Linked DNA regions of Nothobranchius furzeri. The main gene of each other region encodes a partner of the protein of the gene in region 2 in a complex. Links are inferred from orthologs where the notes say so. Each region holds a gene or a part of one and is shown on either strand. Other genes may lie near its edges.

Region 1 (8,025 bases), on a different chromosome or scaffold from region 2:
TGGCGAGGGGGCAGAAGGATGTTTGAGCCTCTCAGCTCAGTTCCTCTTGGAAGAAGTTTCATCTTCACCAGCGTCATCACTTCCTGCTAAAACACTAAAACCAGAAATGTTCAAACTCAGCACGACGACAGACTTTAAAGTATATTTTAATGCACAGAGTTTATAGAGAGAGATAAAAGTCAATTAAAACATTGAAATTGGAGATGATCAGATTTTTAAAAAAAGGACCTGGACTGAGTGAAAATAAGTGAAACTGAAATATTTCAGAAACACTTCAGGTTCACTTATTGGAGCCAAAATGTCGATTATATCCTCAATCTGATCTGGAACATTCCCAAAGGACCTCAGTTCTGTAGGAAGTACATGATAGTGAAGTTTTTCCTCCCTTTAATGGACAAAGTTTAAATTTATTTTGATGTTAAAACACAAAGATTGTTTGACAATGTGGAGGAAGTGTTTATTATGAATAAGCCAAAAACAACTCAAGATGTTTTAAATCTCCCTGGTTGGTCCACATCACTCCTGGCTGATCTCTAATTGGCTGCTGCACCAAACTAAATGGAAGCAGGACAGAAACCTCCAGTTTAACAAGTGAGAATCTGAAACCCAGCTGTGACATCATCCGCTTCTCTGTCCAAAGTGTTTCTGACTTTCAGCTGTGAATTTTTTTCCTCTTGTCATCGAAAAGGTTTCATCAGCAGACGCCGTTCCGATGATTTTATTGTAAATAATAGTTTGGTTTATTTTTGTTTCTCTGTGAAGTTTCTGACAAAATAAACTGAAGCGAAACATTTTGCTGAGTCGTCCACCTGTTGAGTGCTAGATTTAGTAATATGTTAAGTTTTCTAGTGATTTGACCAAAATGTCTTTCTCATGATTTTAGTTAAAACTCTTGCATTGCAGCCAATGCTCACCTTGTTTAACAAAGATACAATAAAAAAAACTTGAGTTTAATCATAAGAAAAAGCAAAAAATTCTAAATTTCTCTTTTTATCCCAAGTTAAAAAAACACATTGCACATTTTCTTAAAATAAAACATTGACACAGATTGAACAAAAGCTTTAACCAACAATTTACAAAATACAATTTATTTTATTTTAATCATTTCAAGTTTGAACCTCTAAACGTAACCTCCCACTCAGGACAAATCCTCTCGGATGACATTAATTGTATTTTTCTGTTAAGGCTCAGAAAACCTCCATAAATTTGTCATTTAGTACAAATGATGTTGCCGTAGACTCGTTTAATGCGGATTAATCAGCTGAATATCAGCCCTGAAAATCCACCAGTCTGTTAAGCAAGCAAGCAGCCGCTGAGTAAAACATTAAATATACAACAAATGATGTTTTTCCCTTAGAGATAAACTGGGACAAGATGTCTGTTTAGTTTGAATCAAAACATGATGGAAAACAGGTTTGAAAAGATCAAAAATCCATTGAATCTTTACAAATTTCTCAAAAATACACAACTAGAATAATTTTTTTTATAATAAATGCTCCTGATTGTGCACCATTTCGCTCTTAACAGTCTTGCTGATATTTAGAAAAACTTTCTACTTCAAATAATTGATCTGTTATTTAAAATAAAACGATTTACAAGACAAGATAAAGCCTGTCCTGATTTCCCTCGTCCATCCTGACTCTAAAATGTTTCAGTTTTAAAAACAGCCTCTGCATCTCATTGGCTGGGTCTCAGCCGTCAGTTGATTCGCTCGTAGGCCGTCACCGTAGCGTGCCTCCTTTTATAGAGGAAGACAAAAACTCCCCCCAGGAGCAGGAGGATCACAGGAGCCCCCAAACACACCGCCATGATGGCGAGAACCAGGGGAGAGAACGAGTCAACGGGAGGAGAGCCAACGCCCACCAGCATGGTCCTGAAAGAGGAAAAACACACTCAGGTTTTTTTATTCACCTGTTCTGATTTTAAACATCCGATTAGATCGTGAACAAACCAGCTGAGGAACATGGTGCTGTTGTAGAAGGGTTCTCCTGCCATGCCGAAGCTCACGTTCATTCCCATAACTTCTGGATTTGAATAGAAGCCTCGAATCAGAGCAGATAAAGCTGCCGTTTCCTCTCCGTTTTGTGAATCTGGGTCAGAGTGGCGGCAAGGCGTGGCGTCCTCCAGCACCGGATGGGACTTCCTGTACGCCACAGGCTTCCACTGGACAAAACCCAGAATGTCTGAGCTTCCGTTTATTGAGGATACCCACTGGAACATCTGAGAGAGGAAAGAACAAAAACAACACAAATAAGACATGGTGACATCCGAGGAGGGCAAATCAAAAGCATATGAAGGCGTTGATAATCACCTTGAATATCGACGGCGTGTACTCGTCATCGATGGACTGGCGAGTGTCCACTCTGCTTAGCGGATAGGTCCCACTCACTGCCTGCAGTTCCAACACAAACCTGGAGGCATTTGATCTCGGCAATATGCCATTAAGCCACACCTCCACCTGGGAGGAGTTAGCAGAATGTAGGAGGCGAGGCCATAACTTGTTACGCCCCTCCGAGTCAAACACAGACAACTGAAAAAGATAAAATGTCAAACATTTTATTATGATCTTTTTCTTTAGTATTCAAAATCAGACTTTTGTCACCATAGCGACAAACCTGCAGGCAGAGCGACCCATTGGTGGAGTCCGAGGGGGCTCCACAGAGCAGAGATGTTGCACCAGACAGGTTGAAAAGAGACCAGCTGAAGTCCTGCAGCTCGTGCGGAGGGAGAAGGTCTGAGGATGCCTCAGCGGTGTTGTTTACGTCATCATACTCCCACAGCTAAAAAACAACAACAGGGTTATCCAATAAACACACATCAGGGTTTTTCCTTTGGACAGACTGGCTAATGTTTCTGACCCGACTGAAGACGACAGCAGAGCTGTACAAGATGCTGCTCTCTGGCTCCACCGTTAGGCTGCCGCTGGTATTACGACTCGAAAACTGGGACCAGTTTACCTGAAACACAAAACCCAAACATTTAGATAGAAATCATACTTGGTCTGCAAAAAATCAAATGAAAATGAATACTAATCCAGACTGGGACTAATGGGCCATTCCCATCTGTATTGGGTCGGCCCGGGCCGGGTAGCGTAGGTTGTTTACATATCTGGGTGGCCTGGTATTTTTCCGGGCCAACCAAGGCTCATTCTCAGCCCTCTTCTCGAGGGGGTCTGCTTCAGGCCGACCAGGGCCAACACACCCACTGCTGACAGCAAACTCACACCTTCCATTAGAGCAAGCCTCTGATTGGTGGGTAGAATCAGCCCACATGGGCTTAAGACAAGGATGTGTGGAATCAACCGGGCCAGGCTGGGGTCGACTGGGGCTACCCGGCCCGGGCCGACCCAGTACAGATGGGAATGGCCCTAGAGTTTTCTTGCCTACCCCTCCCCTACACAAATCATGATGAGTTTTTTTAAAAGATCAAATAAGTTTATTAGAATAATTTTAATCTGAACATACAGCAACAAGCTGATAACTATGTTTACATATTTAGCAAACACTTTTTTCCAAAGCAACTTACAAGAGAAAATGAAGCCAGCACGTTGACCTTGAAGCTAACAACAAACATTAGTCAGTCAATCGTAGGTGGCAGTGAGGCAGCATAATAAATGATAAAGGGAAGTGAACAGGGAGTAGACAATAGAGTGGGGGACGGTGCAGGTAGGGTGCTAGTTTAGAAGATGCTCTCTGAAGAGCTGGGTCTTCAGGAGTTTCTTGAAAATCGACAAGGAAGCCCCTGTTCTGGTAGGTCATTCCACATCTGTGGAAACACACATGAAAAGAGTCTGGATTGTCCTGAGCGTGGTGTAGGCACTGCTAGTCAACAATCCTTCGATGATCTAGTACACAGCCCTGGGGAACTCCTATGGAAAGATGGTGAAGAGCAGAAGATTGTCCGAACCAAGATACAGAATGGTCGTTCTGTGCGGTACGATTCAAATCAGGAGTGTGCTTTCCCTGTGACACCCATGCTAGAGAGTATGGAGCAAAGGAAGCCATGATTGACAGTGTCAACTGCAGCCGATAAGTCAAGCAGCAACAACTGTGTGACTCAACAATACAATTATCTGGTGGTGCATTAATGTTTTACTCAGGAAATTGTCCCATTTATTTATATGGAGGAGGTAGGGCTTAAAACTTATAATGCAACCAGTCATAGTGGGACGACCAGTTTTTCCATCTTCAACGTATACCTTCTCCTCAGTTTTACACAAGATGTATATTGCACATTAATATATTTATTTATATTTACATAATCGGACGATGTGCCAAACCTTGACAGTGGAAGAAGAACTGTTAGTATGGACGAGCAGCAGTGTTGGTGCCCCTTGACTGCAGAACAGGTAGTGCAGCGTGTCGTTTTGTCCTACAGCTCTCACATGCAGCAGTTCACCACCGCGAGGAAGAGAGCTTGAGTTTGGGTTCAGCTGCACAAACAGCTGAAATACGAAAATACAAAGATTTGCAAATCAGGACTGATCAAAATCTGCAACAGCTTACTATCTGATTGATCAGCTGAAAGTCCTTTCGCAGAATTCACATTTCTGATAAGACTATTGATTTTTAACTGATTCAGTTATCACAACTCACATGACTGCTGCAAACAGAATTTTTCCTGAAGACAAAGGGCTACATTTGTTGCTTAGGTTAGGGGTAAGCCATGGAGCAGTAACAGGATTAAAGACTGACTTAAAAATGGACATTTCACATTTCAATAATATTGCCATTAATCAACCTGATTATTAGCAATAAAAGTCATTTTTAATATTAATGATAGACCAAAATCTGGTCAGTTAAGAAACAGCTTCAGATGGCCATGTGAAAAGCTTAAGATTGCAATAAAAAGTAAATTTCCCAAAAAATAAATAGAAACAAAACAAAACGATGACTGACCTGGTTTGGGTTTGTTTTTCATTCAAATATTTTCTTCAAGCTGCATTTTACCATTAAAATAATAGAATTAAGAAACGTGGATAAGCGGATTAATATAGCATATAAACAAAAAATAAAGACTTTCATATCTCTAATCAACACTATCACTTCCTGTATTTTCCTCCGATACTTTTCGACCTTTAAAGTCTAAATTTAAACCACGTTGCTGTCACTTCTATTTCCTTACCTTTCTTTTGTAAGTATTTCCTCCGTAAAACAAACTTAGACATGAACGAAAAGTAAAAACAAGTAAAATCGTACTAATTAGTAACCTCCCCGTGGCCGCCATCTCTGTTGTGACCGAGCTGTGCAGTGGGTCACATGACCTCCCTCCTTCATGTCAGGTGACCACACTGAGGCCCCGCCCCTTGTGACTTAACAGCCAATAAAACGTCTAATCATCATTTTAGTCAATAAGCCAAGAAAGTCTTGATTTTTGAACATTAACCCCTAAAAATATAAATATATTATTCAGGACTGACTTCTTCATTGAACCAATGAAATACTGTTAATTATAACCAGCAATTCAAAACAAAAGCCTTCAGATAGATTTGTTTTATATTATTTTAGTGATGAAATTCAATATATTTACTGTTTGGATTTGTTTGTTTACCTTTTTTGCATGCCAAAATGGCGTCCACTAACTGAGAGTCACGTGGGGTCCGGAGCTCTATTGATGCCAAAACACCCAGCATTATCTGGCAGTTGGTAAAATAAAATAAGTGCTGAAAACAAACCAACTTTTTCTACATTTTGTACCATTAATACTGAAAATGTTTAGTATTTTACACACCTTTATAGCCATTTACTTGAATCCTAATGTTTTATAAGGCACATTAAATGTTTTGTATTTGTTTAAAGTTTAACTGAGCCAAATCACTTTAATGTGGAATCTTAAATGTGAACAAAATCACACAGAAACTTCTAACTGCTCAATCGATTAACAACTAACTTCAGTAAAACTTTTCTGTTCTCATGTGCACACATCTGGATTTTTGTTTAGACTCTGGAACACTTCAAATAAATTCTGGCCATAAATAATCACAATAACTGAGAGGACTTTGATTCAAAAGCCATTTCAACAAAGAGACAAAAATATAATCGTCGTCTTCCTCCGCTTATACGGGTCCTGGTCGCGGGGGGAGCATCCCAACTAGGGAGCTCCAGACCGTCCTCTCCCCAGCCACCTCCACCAGCAGGACCCCAAGGCATTCCCGGACCAGATTGGAGATGTAACCTCTCCAACGTGTCCTGGGTCGACCCGGGGGCCTCCTGCCGGCAGGACATGCCCGAAACACCTCCCCAGGGAGGCGTCCAGGAGGCATCCTGACCAGATGCCCAAACCACCTCAACTGACTCCTTTCGATCCGGAGGAGCAGCGTTTCTACTCTGAGTCCCTCCCGAATGTCCGAGCTCCTCACCCTATCTCTAAGGCTGAGCCCGACCACCCTACGGAGGAAACATTTCGGCCGCTTGTATCTGCGATCTCGTTCTTTCGGTCATTACCCAGAGCTCATTACCATAGGTGAGGATTGGGACTTAGATCGATCGGTAAATCGAGGGCCTGGCTTTCTGGCTCAGCTCCTTCTTCACCATGACAGATTGGCTCAGCGTCCGCATCACTGCAGACGCCGAACCAATCCGCCTGTCGATCTCCCGATTCCTCCTACCCTCACTCGTGAACAAGACCCCAAGATACTTAAAAGTCCTCCACTTGAGGTAGGACCTCTCTCCCAACCCGGAGTTGGCAAGCCACCCTTTTCCGGTCGAGAACCATGGTCTCAGATTTGGAGGTGCTGATCCTCATCCCAGCCGCTTCACACTCGGCCGCAAACCTACCCACCAAGAGCTGAAGGTCAGAGCTGGATGAAGCTAGAAGGACTACATCATCCACAAAAAGCAGAGACGAGATTCTCCTGCCACCAAACTCGACACACTCCACACCACGGCTGTGCCTAGAAATTTTGTCCATATAGGTAATGAACAGAACCGGTGACAAAGGGCAGCCCTGGCGGAGTCCAACCCTCAGCGGGAACAGGTCCGACTTACTACCGGCTCTGCGGACCAAACTCACGCTCCTCTGGTAAAGGGACTGAATGGCCCTTAACAGAAAGCCACCCACCCCATACTCCTGGAGCGTCCCCCACAGGGTGCCCCTGGGGACACAGTCATAAGCCTTCTCCAAATCCACAAAACACATGTGGATTGGGTGGGCAAACTCCCATGCCCCCTCCATCACCCTTGCAAGGGTATAGAGCTGGTCCACAGTTCCATGGCCAGGACGAAAACCACATTGCTCCTCCTCAATCTGAGATTCAACTATCGATCGGGCCTTCCTCTCCAGAACCTTGGAGTAGACCTTTCCAGGGAGGCTGAGGAGTGCGATCCCCCTATAGTTGGAACACGCCCTCAGGTCACCCTTCTTAAAGATGGGGACCACCTCCCCGGTCTGCCACAGGAACTGCCCCCGATGACCACTGTGTGTTGGGGTTTACCCCGGGGGGCGAGAGGGTAGCTCCCTGCGCCTTCGGGTCGGGGAACGAGTCCTGACTGTTGTTTGTGCTTATGGGCCAAATATCAGTTCAGAGTACCCACCCTTTTTGGAGTCCCTGGGACGAGTGCTAGATAGTGCTCCATCAGGGGACTCCATTGTCCTGCTGGGGGACTTCAATGCTCACGTGGGCAATGACAGCATGACCTGGAGGGGTGTGATTGGGAGGAACTTGGGAGCCTGATCTGAACTCGAGTGGTGTTTCGTTATTGGACTTCTGTGCAAGCCGCAGTTTGGCCATAACAAACACCATGTTCGAACATAAGGATGCCCATCGGTACACTTGGTACCAGGGCAGCCTAGGTTGCAGGTCGATGATAGACTTTGTAGTCGTATCATCGGACCTGCGGCCGTATGTTTTGGACACCCGAGTGAAGAGAGCAGAGCTGTCAACTGATCACCACCTGGTGGTGAGTTGGATCAGATGGCAGGGGAAGATGCCACGTAGACCTGGCAGACCCAAACGCATAGTGAGGGTCTGCTGGGAACGCCTGGCAGAAGAACCTGTCAAGACGGTCTTCAACTCCCCCCTCCGGC
Region 2 (7,987 bases):
CTCCGAGACCCTCCCGAATGTCTGAGCTCCTCACCCTATCTCTAAGGCTGAGCCCGGCCACCCTACGGAGGAAACTCATTTCGGCCGCTTGTATCCGCGATCTCGTTCTTTCGGTCATTACCCAAAGCTCATGACCATAGGTGAGGACTGGGACATAGATCGACCGGTAAATCGAGAGCCTGGCTTTCTGGCTCAGCTCCCTCTTCCCCACGACAGATCGGCCCAGCGTCCGCATCACTGCAGAAGCCGAACCAATCCGCCTGTCGATCTCCTGATCCCTCCTACCCTCACACATCAAGCGATTATTACAATTACCACCATTTATGGTCTCCTCCTTGAACCGTCACCTTATCGTGGTGGAGGAGTTCGAGTGCCCTAATGATCCTAGGAGCTATGTTGTCTGGGGCACTTAGTGCCCCTGGTAGGGTCTCCCATGACAAATTGGTCTTAGGTGAAGGGTGAGACAAAGAACGGTTCGAAGGATCTTTCATGGCGGTTAAAACGAAGAGTCGGAGTACCCGGCCCGGAGGGTTACCGGGGTCCCACCCGGGAGCAAGGCCTGGGGTTGGGGCCCGTGAGCGAGCGCCTGGTGGCCGGGCTTTCGCCCATGGGGCCCGGCCGGGCCCAGCCCGAACCGGATACATGGGCTCGTCCAACTGTGGACCCACCACCCGCAGGAGGAACTTGAAGGGTCCGGTGCAATGCGAATCGGGTGGCAGACCAAGGCGGGAGCCTTGGCGGTCCAATCCCCGGACAAGAAAACTAGTTTTTGGGACATGGAACGTCACCTCGCTGGCGGGGAAGGAGCCGGAGCTTGTGGCAGAGGTTGAGCGGTACCGGCTAGATATAGTCGGACTCACCTCGACACATTGCATTGGCTCTGGAACCCGAGACCTGGAGAGGGGTTGGACACTCTACTTTGCTGGAGTTGCTCCGGGTGAGAGGCGGAGGGCTGGGGTTGGCTTTTTGTTAGCCCCGAGACTCTCTGCCTGTGTGTTGGGGTTTTTGAGGCAAAATCTCGGGCGTGGGAGGAGTTTGGTGAGGCCATGGAGAAAGACTATCGATCGGCTCCAAAGAGGTTCTGGCAAACTGTCCGACGCCTCAGGAGAGGAAGGCAGCAACTCGCTCACACTGTTTACAGTGGGGATGGGGAGCTGCTGACGTCAACTGAGGCTATAGTCGGACGGTGGAAGGAATACTTTGAGGAGCTCCTCAATCCCACCAATGCGCATTCCGAGGAGGAACCAGAGCGGGGAGGCCTGGGGATGGACTGTCCGATCTCGGGGGCAGAAGTTGCTGAGGTAGTCAAACAACTACACAGCGGCGGAGCCCCGGGGGCGGATGAGGTTCGTCCTGGGTATCTCAAGGCTATGGATGTTGTAGGGCTGTCATGGTTGACACGTCTCTACAACATTGCGTGGTCATCGGGGGCAGTTCCTAGGGAGTGGCAGACCGGGGTGGTGGTCCCCATCTTTAAGAAGGGTGACCTGAGGGTGTGTTCCAACTATAGGGGGATCACACTCCTCAGCCTCCCTGGAAAGGTCTACTCCAAGGTACTGGAGAGGAGGGTCCGATCGATAGTTGAATCTCAGATAGAGGAGGAGCAATGTGGTTTTCGTCCTGGCCGTGGAACTGTGGACCAGCTCTATACCCTTGCAAGGGTGATGGAGGGGGCATGGGAGTTTGCCCAACCAATCCACATGTGCTTTGTGGATTTGGAGAAGGCTTATGACCATGTCCCCAGGGGCACCCTGTGGGGGACGCTCCAGGAGTATGGGGTGGGTGGCTTTCTGTTAAGGGCCATTCAGTCCCTTTACCAGAGGAGCGTGAGTTTGGTCCGCATAGCCGGTAGTAAGTCGGACCTGTTCCCAGTGAGGGTTGGACTCCGCCAGGGCTGCCCTTTGTCACCGGTTCTGTTCATCACTTTTATGGACAGAATTTCTAGACGCAGCCGTGGTGTGGAGTGTGTCCAGTTTGGTGGCAGGAGAATCTCGTCTCTGCATTTGCGGATGATGTGGTCCTCCTAGCTTCATCCAGCTCTGACCTTCAGCTCTTGCTGGGTAGGTTCGCGGCCGAATGTGAAGCGGCTGGGATGAGGATCAGCACCTCCAAATCTGAGACCATGGTTCTCGACCGGAAAAGGGTGGCTTGCCACCTCCGGGTCGGGGGAGAGGTCCTACCTCAAGTGGAGGAGTTTAAGTATCTCGGGGTCTTGTTCACGAGTGAGGGTAGGAGGGATCGGGAGATCGACAGGCGGATTGGTTCGGCGTCTGCAGTGATGCGGACGCTGAGCCGATCTGTCGTGGGGAAGAGGGAGCTGAGCCAGAAAGCCAGGCTCTCGATTTACCGGTCGATCTACGTCCCAATCCTCACCTATGGTCATGAGCTTTGGGTAATGACCGAAAGAACGAGATCGCGGATACAAGCGGCCGAAATGAGTTTCCTCCGTAGGGTGGCCGGGCTCAGCCTTAGATATAGGGTGAGGAGCTCGGACATTCGGGAGGGACTCGGAGTAGAACCGCTGCTCCTCCGGATCGAAAGGAGCCAGTTGAGGTGGATTGGGCATCTGGTCAGGATGCCTCCTGGACGCCTCCCCGGGGAGGTGTTTCGGGCATGTCCTGCCGGCAGAAGGCCCCCGGGTCGACCCAGGACACGTTGGAGAGGTTACATCTCCAATCTGGTCCGGGAACGCCTTGGGGTCCTGTCGGAGGAGCTGGTGGACAAGGCCGGGGAGAGGACGGCCTGGAGCTCCCTAGTTGGGATGCTGCCCCCGCGACCCGGACCCGGATAAGCGGAGGAAGATGACGACGACGACGACCATTTATGGTGCATTTTTTTTCCACCGTAGAGGTTTGTTTCTCACATCAGTTTTTTCATACTTTTAGATTAATTCAGCACACATCAACTCCAGTTACCACATACTTTTTACTCCATTATCATATCCATGTACCCTACACACACGTTTGCATGAAATCTACAGGATAAACCTGAGTAATGAAAATGACTTTTGTAAACAGAATCAAGACAGAACGGAGACATGCAGATCTTCTGGCCTCTACATCTGAAAATCACCACAGTTCACGAGTACTGTGAAGGGCAAGTGGGAAAAAATAAACCCTTAAGGAGCATTGCTTCAATCGGCATAAAAAAATGTTTAAGCTAAAAGGAAGTTCACGACAGTGCAGACATGGGCCCCACACCCACTTTATACCACCATTGTGTAATCTTTAGTGAACATGTGATCTCACCACGTTACTGCTACAGACCGACCACTTATAAACGACCAAAGGCTCCCCGATGCGGCCTCAGCATTGCAGCAAAGTGCCGCCATAGTCTTGTGAAAAAAGCTGGACTTGTAGGCAAGTTTTGGTAATCCTTCGATAGTTGGCTGGTTAGGAGGAACAACCGCCGGCTTCTCTTCATCCAACACCATGATGGGAACATGTAACGTGCTGCTGCAGGTTACTAGTGTTGTTGTTTTTATTTTAGTTCTATACAACTTCTCTTTAATCCTGACAAGTGACTCCCACGCTCAGTGGCTGGAGCTTAGCAACAAGCCGCCGCTGTTGCTGTAATGTTTTTTTCCAATGGCCCGCCACCCAGTGTCATGGCAGCACGTGTAACTTTAAGTTTTCCAGCCAGGCTTTGCTGTTGTTTTTCAGACTTTGACAAACATCTATTTAGAAATCGATTTAGAACCGGCCTGTCCCATCACAATGCATTGATTAAATGGTGAATCGACAGACACCTAATTGAAGGACTAACTTAACTTTTAGCTAAGGGCTGTAAATGTGCAGATATGATGATCTTAACTCAGTGAGCTTAAAAATGGACCATTCATTTTCCATAATTTACCCAAAAACAAAACGTCCAGCTTCCATCAGCCAGAAGTGATTGGTCCAAGCTCCAGCTGCAAATATTACCTATGTGGATATTGGGAAAAAGTCAATACTTTTATGATAAATCTGTATTTCAAAAACAGATTAGAGAATAAACCAACCTGTCCAACACAGACGAAGAGGGAGAAGATGATGGTTCCCAGCCTGCAAAAGAAATAAACATTCAGTTTTAGGTGAAAGTGTCGCCAAAACAAGCAGGACACTTTGTTGTTGCTCTACCTGATGCCAAAAACCCTGTCGAGCAGAAAACCCCCAAAGAAGCAGAGGACCACATTTGGCCAGGAGTACCAGGCGTAAAGCTGCATGAACTTTGCCGTGTTCAGGTTTAGATCCTGGGGGAGTCAGGGGGAAGGACTCGGGTTAATGATCAGGAGACAGACTGACACTTCTGATTGGACGGCTGCTGTTTCCCTAAATCAGTTGTCGGGGCTGACAGAAATCCACTAGTCAGCTTTTTCAGCCTGGTATTAATTATAATAGTTTGTGACATTTACCTGGATTACTTGAGTCTGGAGCGCTGCTGGATTGTCATAACAGAAGTAGCTTCCTGAAACGAAACAAACGTTACCAAACGATAAACCTAAACAATAATACAGCACAGGAGCGTTTAGGGTAAAAACGTTTTTTTTTTTTAAATATTTGGGAGTCTTGAAAACTTTAAACTAAAAAAAAAAAAACTCCACAACAGCTTCTCACCGAACCCCAGGAAGCACATGAAAACCAAAACAACGACTCGGTGCAGAAAGTGGCTGGGGTCGCATATGGCGGCCAGCGGCCGGCCGGGTCCTCGGTCCGCCTTCCGGCCGGTAGACGAGCCCTCGGCCTCGTCTCCCAACAGGCCCCGCCGCTCCTCGAAATCCGCCATGTTCCCCTTTTTTTGGGCAAAGTTAGCGGCTGCTGGGGAGAGAATCCATCGGTCATATGAGCGAGTGGAACAGTCACGTGACAGTGTGACGTGACGTTTGCGTGCGCAGACTTGTGAATCGGGCGCGCGCGCGAGGCAAAATACAACGTTTTTTGGAAGGTTGTTTTTGGCTAAATAAAGTTGATATTAGAGAGATTACCACAGTAAGCGCGTCATTTCCTTTTAAGGTGATTACAGTTGCATCTGTAAAGTGTGATAACAATTAAAGTTACTGTCAAAACAGCATTATAGAAAACTAGAACTGTTGATGAAAATGGTGAAAAGATGCCTGTGGGATGGTAACATGTATTATTATGCTGTAAGTCTGTGTGAAGTTTTTAGTCTTTCAAAAAAAAAACTAAACATTTATTGCAGCTTTCTGAGAAGACGATAACTGAATGACAATTGTCAAGCAATCTCCATAATCTCTGATCTGACCATCTGTGATTAGAAAGCGAAATTATGCTGGGTGCGTCAGCTCATATTCATTTATATCTATTTATGACATTTTGGTAAAGTTTTTGTAATACTTATGCTAAAAAATATATCTTTAGTGTGTGTTTTTCAATTTTATGTTGATTCCTGGAAATCATCATACCTGTGTAGCTCTTGGAGACCCACAGGGGGTGCCAACCCCACATTTGGGAATCCAAACTACCCTTTCTTCTCTAGGGTCACAGAGAACTGACGCCCAATGCCAACAGTCAACAGGCGAGAGCATCGACTTATATACGATATGTCGAGAGGGGGCGAGAGGCAGGGGACACTGTGGCCCTGGACAGGTCACCAGTGACACAACACATCAGCAGAAATGCCAAATTCCAGAGTGAGAAACTGTATACAGTAATTAAAAGTGTATTATTACACACAGGGACCTAGGTCTTGTGGACACTGTCAGATAAGTAGTGAATTACTTCCAATAAAACCTTTTGAAGATTGCAAGAAAAATTTAACTCAAGCCTCAAATGCTCAGTTTCAGTTCATAAACATTCTTGTTCAGTCATTATTGTGGAAGATTTTTGTATTTTTAAAGGACATTCTTCTTCCTCCTAGTGGACACAGTGGATCATTGCACCTCCTTTTCTGTAGAAAATAATTTGTATTAAAACTATTAATAATAATAATCTGAAAACAAAACAACTATCAACTAAAGGAGGTAGTTCCAAAGCAATCTCAGAATATCAGTTTATCATGATAATGTTTATTGATCAATTGCAATCTTTCCAAACCAGATTTTATTTTTAAATGACGTTTATAAACAATTAGCAACTAATAGATGTGAAAATAATAACCCTGAGCCTTAGCTTCAGTTCTGTTTTTGTGCCACTCACACTGAGAACGTTTAGCTTTTGTCCATTTATTTTTGTTTGTTTGTTTGTTTTGTGTAATTTCCCATTCTTCTAAACCTGCATTCATTCGAAGCTTGAACCACTTACCTGCTAAGTTAAAGAAGGAGCTTTTGCCCTGATGACAACCTTCTGGAGCATCTTGATCTTAAACATTTGAAATAATCCTGATTGGTTTTACTTATAATTAAACACGTCTGTCTGACTCAACTACCACACAGTCGCTTAAAGAGCAAGTCACCCCCTACAAGAAACTTACTTCACTCCCTCTTCATATTTGAAAAATGCAACAAATGCTGTTGCCTAGCAGACCGAGACGGCGGAGCCGCTAACAAATATACACACAGGCTCACAACGACATTGTGACATCATAATGTACTGTTTACATCATAGCATACCTCTTAGCCAATAGCGGTGGCAGATTTAAATTCAAATACAGTGCAGAGTTTTTACCTGACGACGGCACAACACTGACAGTTTTAGGCAGAATATTTAAATTTTAACTAAGATGCACTGAAGTACCAAATTATTGACGACACATGTCTGCAGCACAATTAGACACACATTTATATAGTTTATCAGCAAAAAAAAGTTGATTTGGGGGTGACTTGCTCTTTAAAAGAACCCCTCATCCTGAAAAATCATCCTCGCTTTGCCTCAACCTGAGTCTGAGCAAACACCCAGCCTGTCTACAGGGTTTGTTGAATTTCCATTCAAATTCAAATTCAAATTCAAAAAAACTTTAATCACCCCCGAGGGGCAATTGTTTTGTTGTTCCATGAATGTCATTTAAAATTCCCCATGATTCACTGCTACAGGTTCATCTGTCTGCGGATTTAATCTGGGGGTGACAAACGACCCTTCCAGTGGCTGCAGATGCCGCTCCAATCGCAATGTAGCTTATTAATTTCCTGGCCAATTATCAGCTTCTGTCATGACCGACAGCGGGTGGGCTGGAGAGATATCATGTTTCATTATTAGATTAATCAACCCCGCATGCCGACTCTATTATAAATCATGCAGGAGGTGACATTATTCCTGCAGACATAGTTTGTGAATGTCCTCACATCCATCTTTTGGTTGTTGCACAGTTCAAGAAAACAAATTTATTTCAGAATTACTTTTTTTTCTTCTCTGTTTGAACCAGACATGGCAGCAGGAGGGTGCTTTACTTGCACGCTACAGCCTTGTCGGGTGGTAAACTTTGGTTTCATAAGCACTATCACACATCTGATCTGAGTCAAGGGAACATGGCTACATGATGTAAAAGCAGATGTGGATAAGATTAGAATAACACACCAAAACAAGTGAGGAGGTTTCAGAAGTGGACTACCTCCAAAACATCTCTGGTTGCCAAAAAAAAAAAAAAAAAAGAGCCCAATCACGGCCTTTTTAAGGTATTGCTAGTTTTTTAATGTTTAAACTAGAGCTTTAACATTGATCTCAGTGATTGTTGAGTTAGAAGCCTGACCAGTTTTATAGTTGACACCACTCTGCAGCCTCCACTGACCAGACACTGCAATCAACATCTTTGTGGGGTGAGTAGGTGCTCTATAGGAGGAGCTCTTTACCTGCTTTACAGCTGTTAGCTGTTATGCTAGCGGTTAGCTTTTTCAGTTCGCTGTTTGTCAATAAAAAGCACAAGAAGAAGAAAAAGAAGAAGTTTGCTTTTTCTGTTGGCATCATGGTGGGGCCAGGAAGTGAAAGTAAATGAGGTGAAGCAAAGAGCTGAAACCAGCATGAACATCAACACGGCCTACACTAGCTTGTGGGAGCTAAAGGAGGCTACAAAATCACAGACTAATGATGACCTGGCTTTGTTGCTACTGAACTTGTAA

What was found.
Region 1: the proteins of mfsd1 (region 2) and glmp are in contact, whole or in part, in a cryo-EM structure (PDB 8R8Q), measured with the Mus musculus proteins. The link is inferred for Nothobranchius furzeri from reciprocal best matches to the Homo sapiens genes MFSD1 and GLMP. Residues at the interface, in NP_080089.1 of Mus musculus: Val288, Glu292, Lys293, Arg295, Phe349, Phe351, Leu411, Asp412, Lys414, Gly415, Tyr416, Leu417, Leu418, Val421, Ile424, Ser428, Leu432, Val435, Leu439; in NP_064387.1 of Mus musculus: Glu250, Asn252, Ser253, Ile254, Asp255, Asp256, Glu257, Pro260, Ala261, Phe263, Gln264, Arg292, Phe364, Leu367, Val368, Ile371, Met372, Ala375, Ala378, Leu381, Met382, Gly385, Phe389.

The regions. Positions count from the first base shown.
Region 1 is NC_091759.1:9,420,334-9,428,358, forward strand, and holds glmp (glycosylated lysosomal membrane protein), read right to left. Parts: upstream 5,281-8,025; 5' UTR 5,227-5,280; coding exon 5,125-5,226; intron 4,445-5,124; coding exon 4,280-4,444; intron 2,958-4,279; coding exon 2,859-2,957; intron 2,781-2,858; coding exon 2,616-2,780; intron 2,531-2,615; coding exon 2,312-2,530; intron 2,221-2,311; coding exon 1,952-2,220; intron 1,874-1,951; coding exon 1,699-1,873; 3' UTR 1,073-1,698; downstream 1-1,072. UniProt on the Homo sapiens protein: Required to protect lysosomal transporter MFSD1 from lysosomal proteolysis and for MFSD1 lysosomal localization.
Region 2 is NC_091753.1:52,076,686-52,084,672, reverse strand, and holds the start of mfsd1 (lysosomal dipeptide transporter MFSD1), read right to left. Parts: upstream 4,925-7,987; 5' UTR 4,765-4,924; coding exon 4,596-4,764; intron 4,447-4,595; coding exon 4,394-4,446; intron 4,232-4,393; coding exon 4,119-4,231; intron 4,044-4,118; coding exon 4,001-4,043; intron 3,924-4,000; coding exon 3,856-3,923; intron 1-3,855. UniProt on the Homo sapiens protein: Lysosomal dipeptide uniporter that selectively exports lysine, arginine or histidine-containing dipeptides with a net positive charge from the lysosome lumen into the cytosol.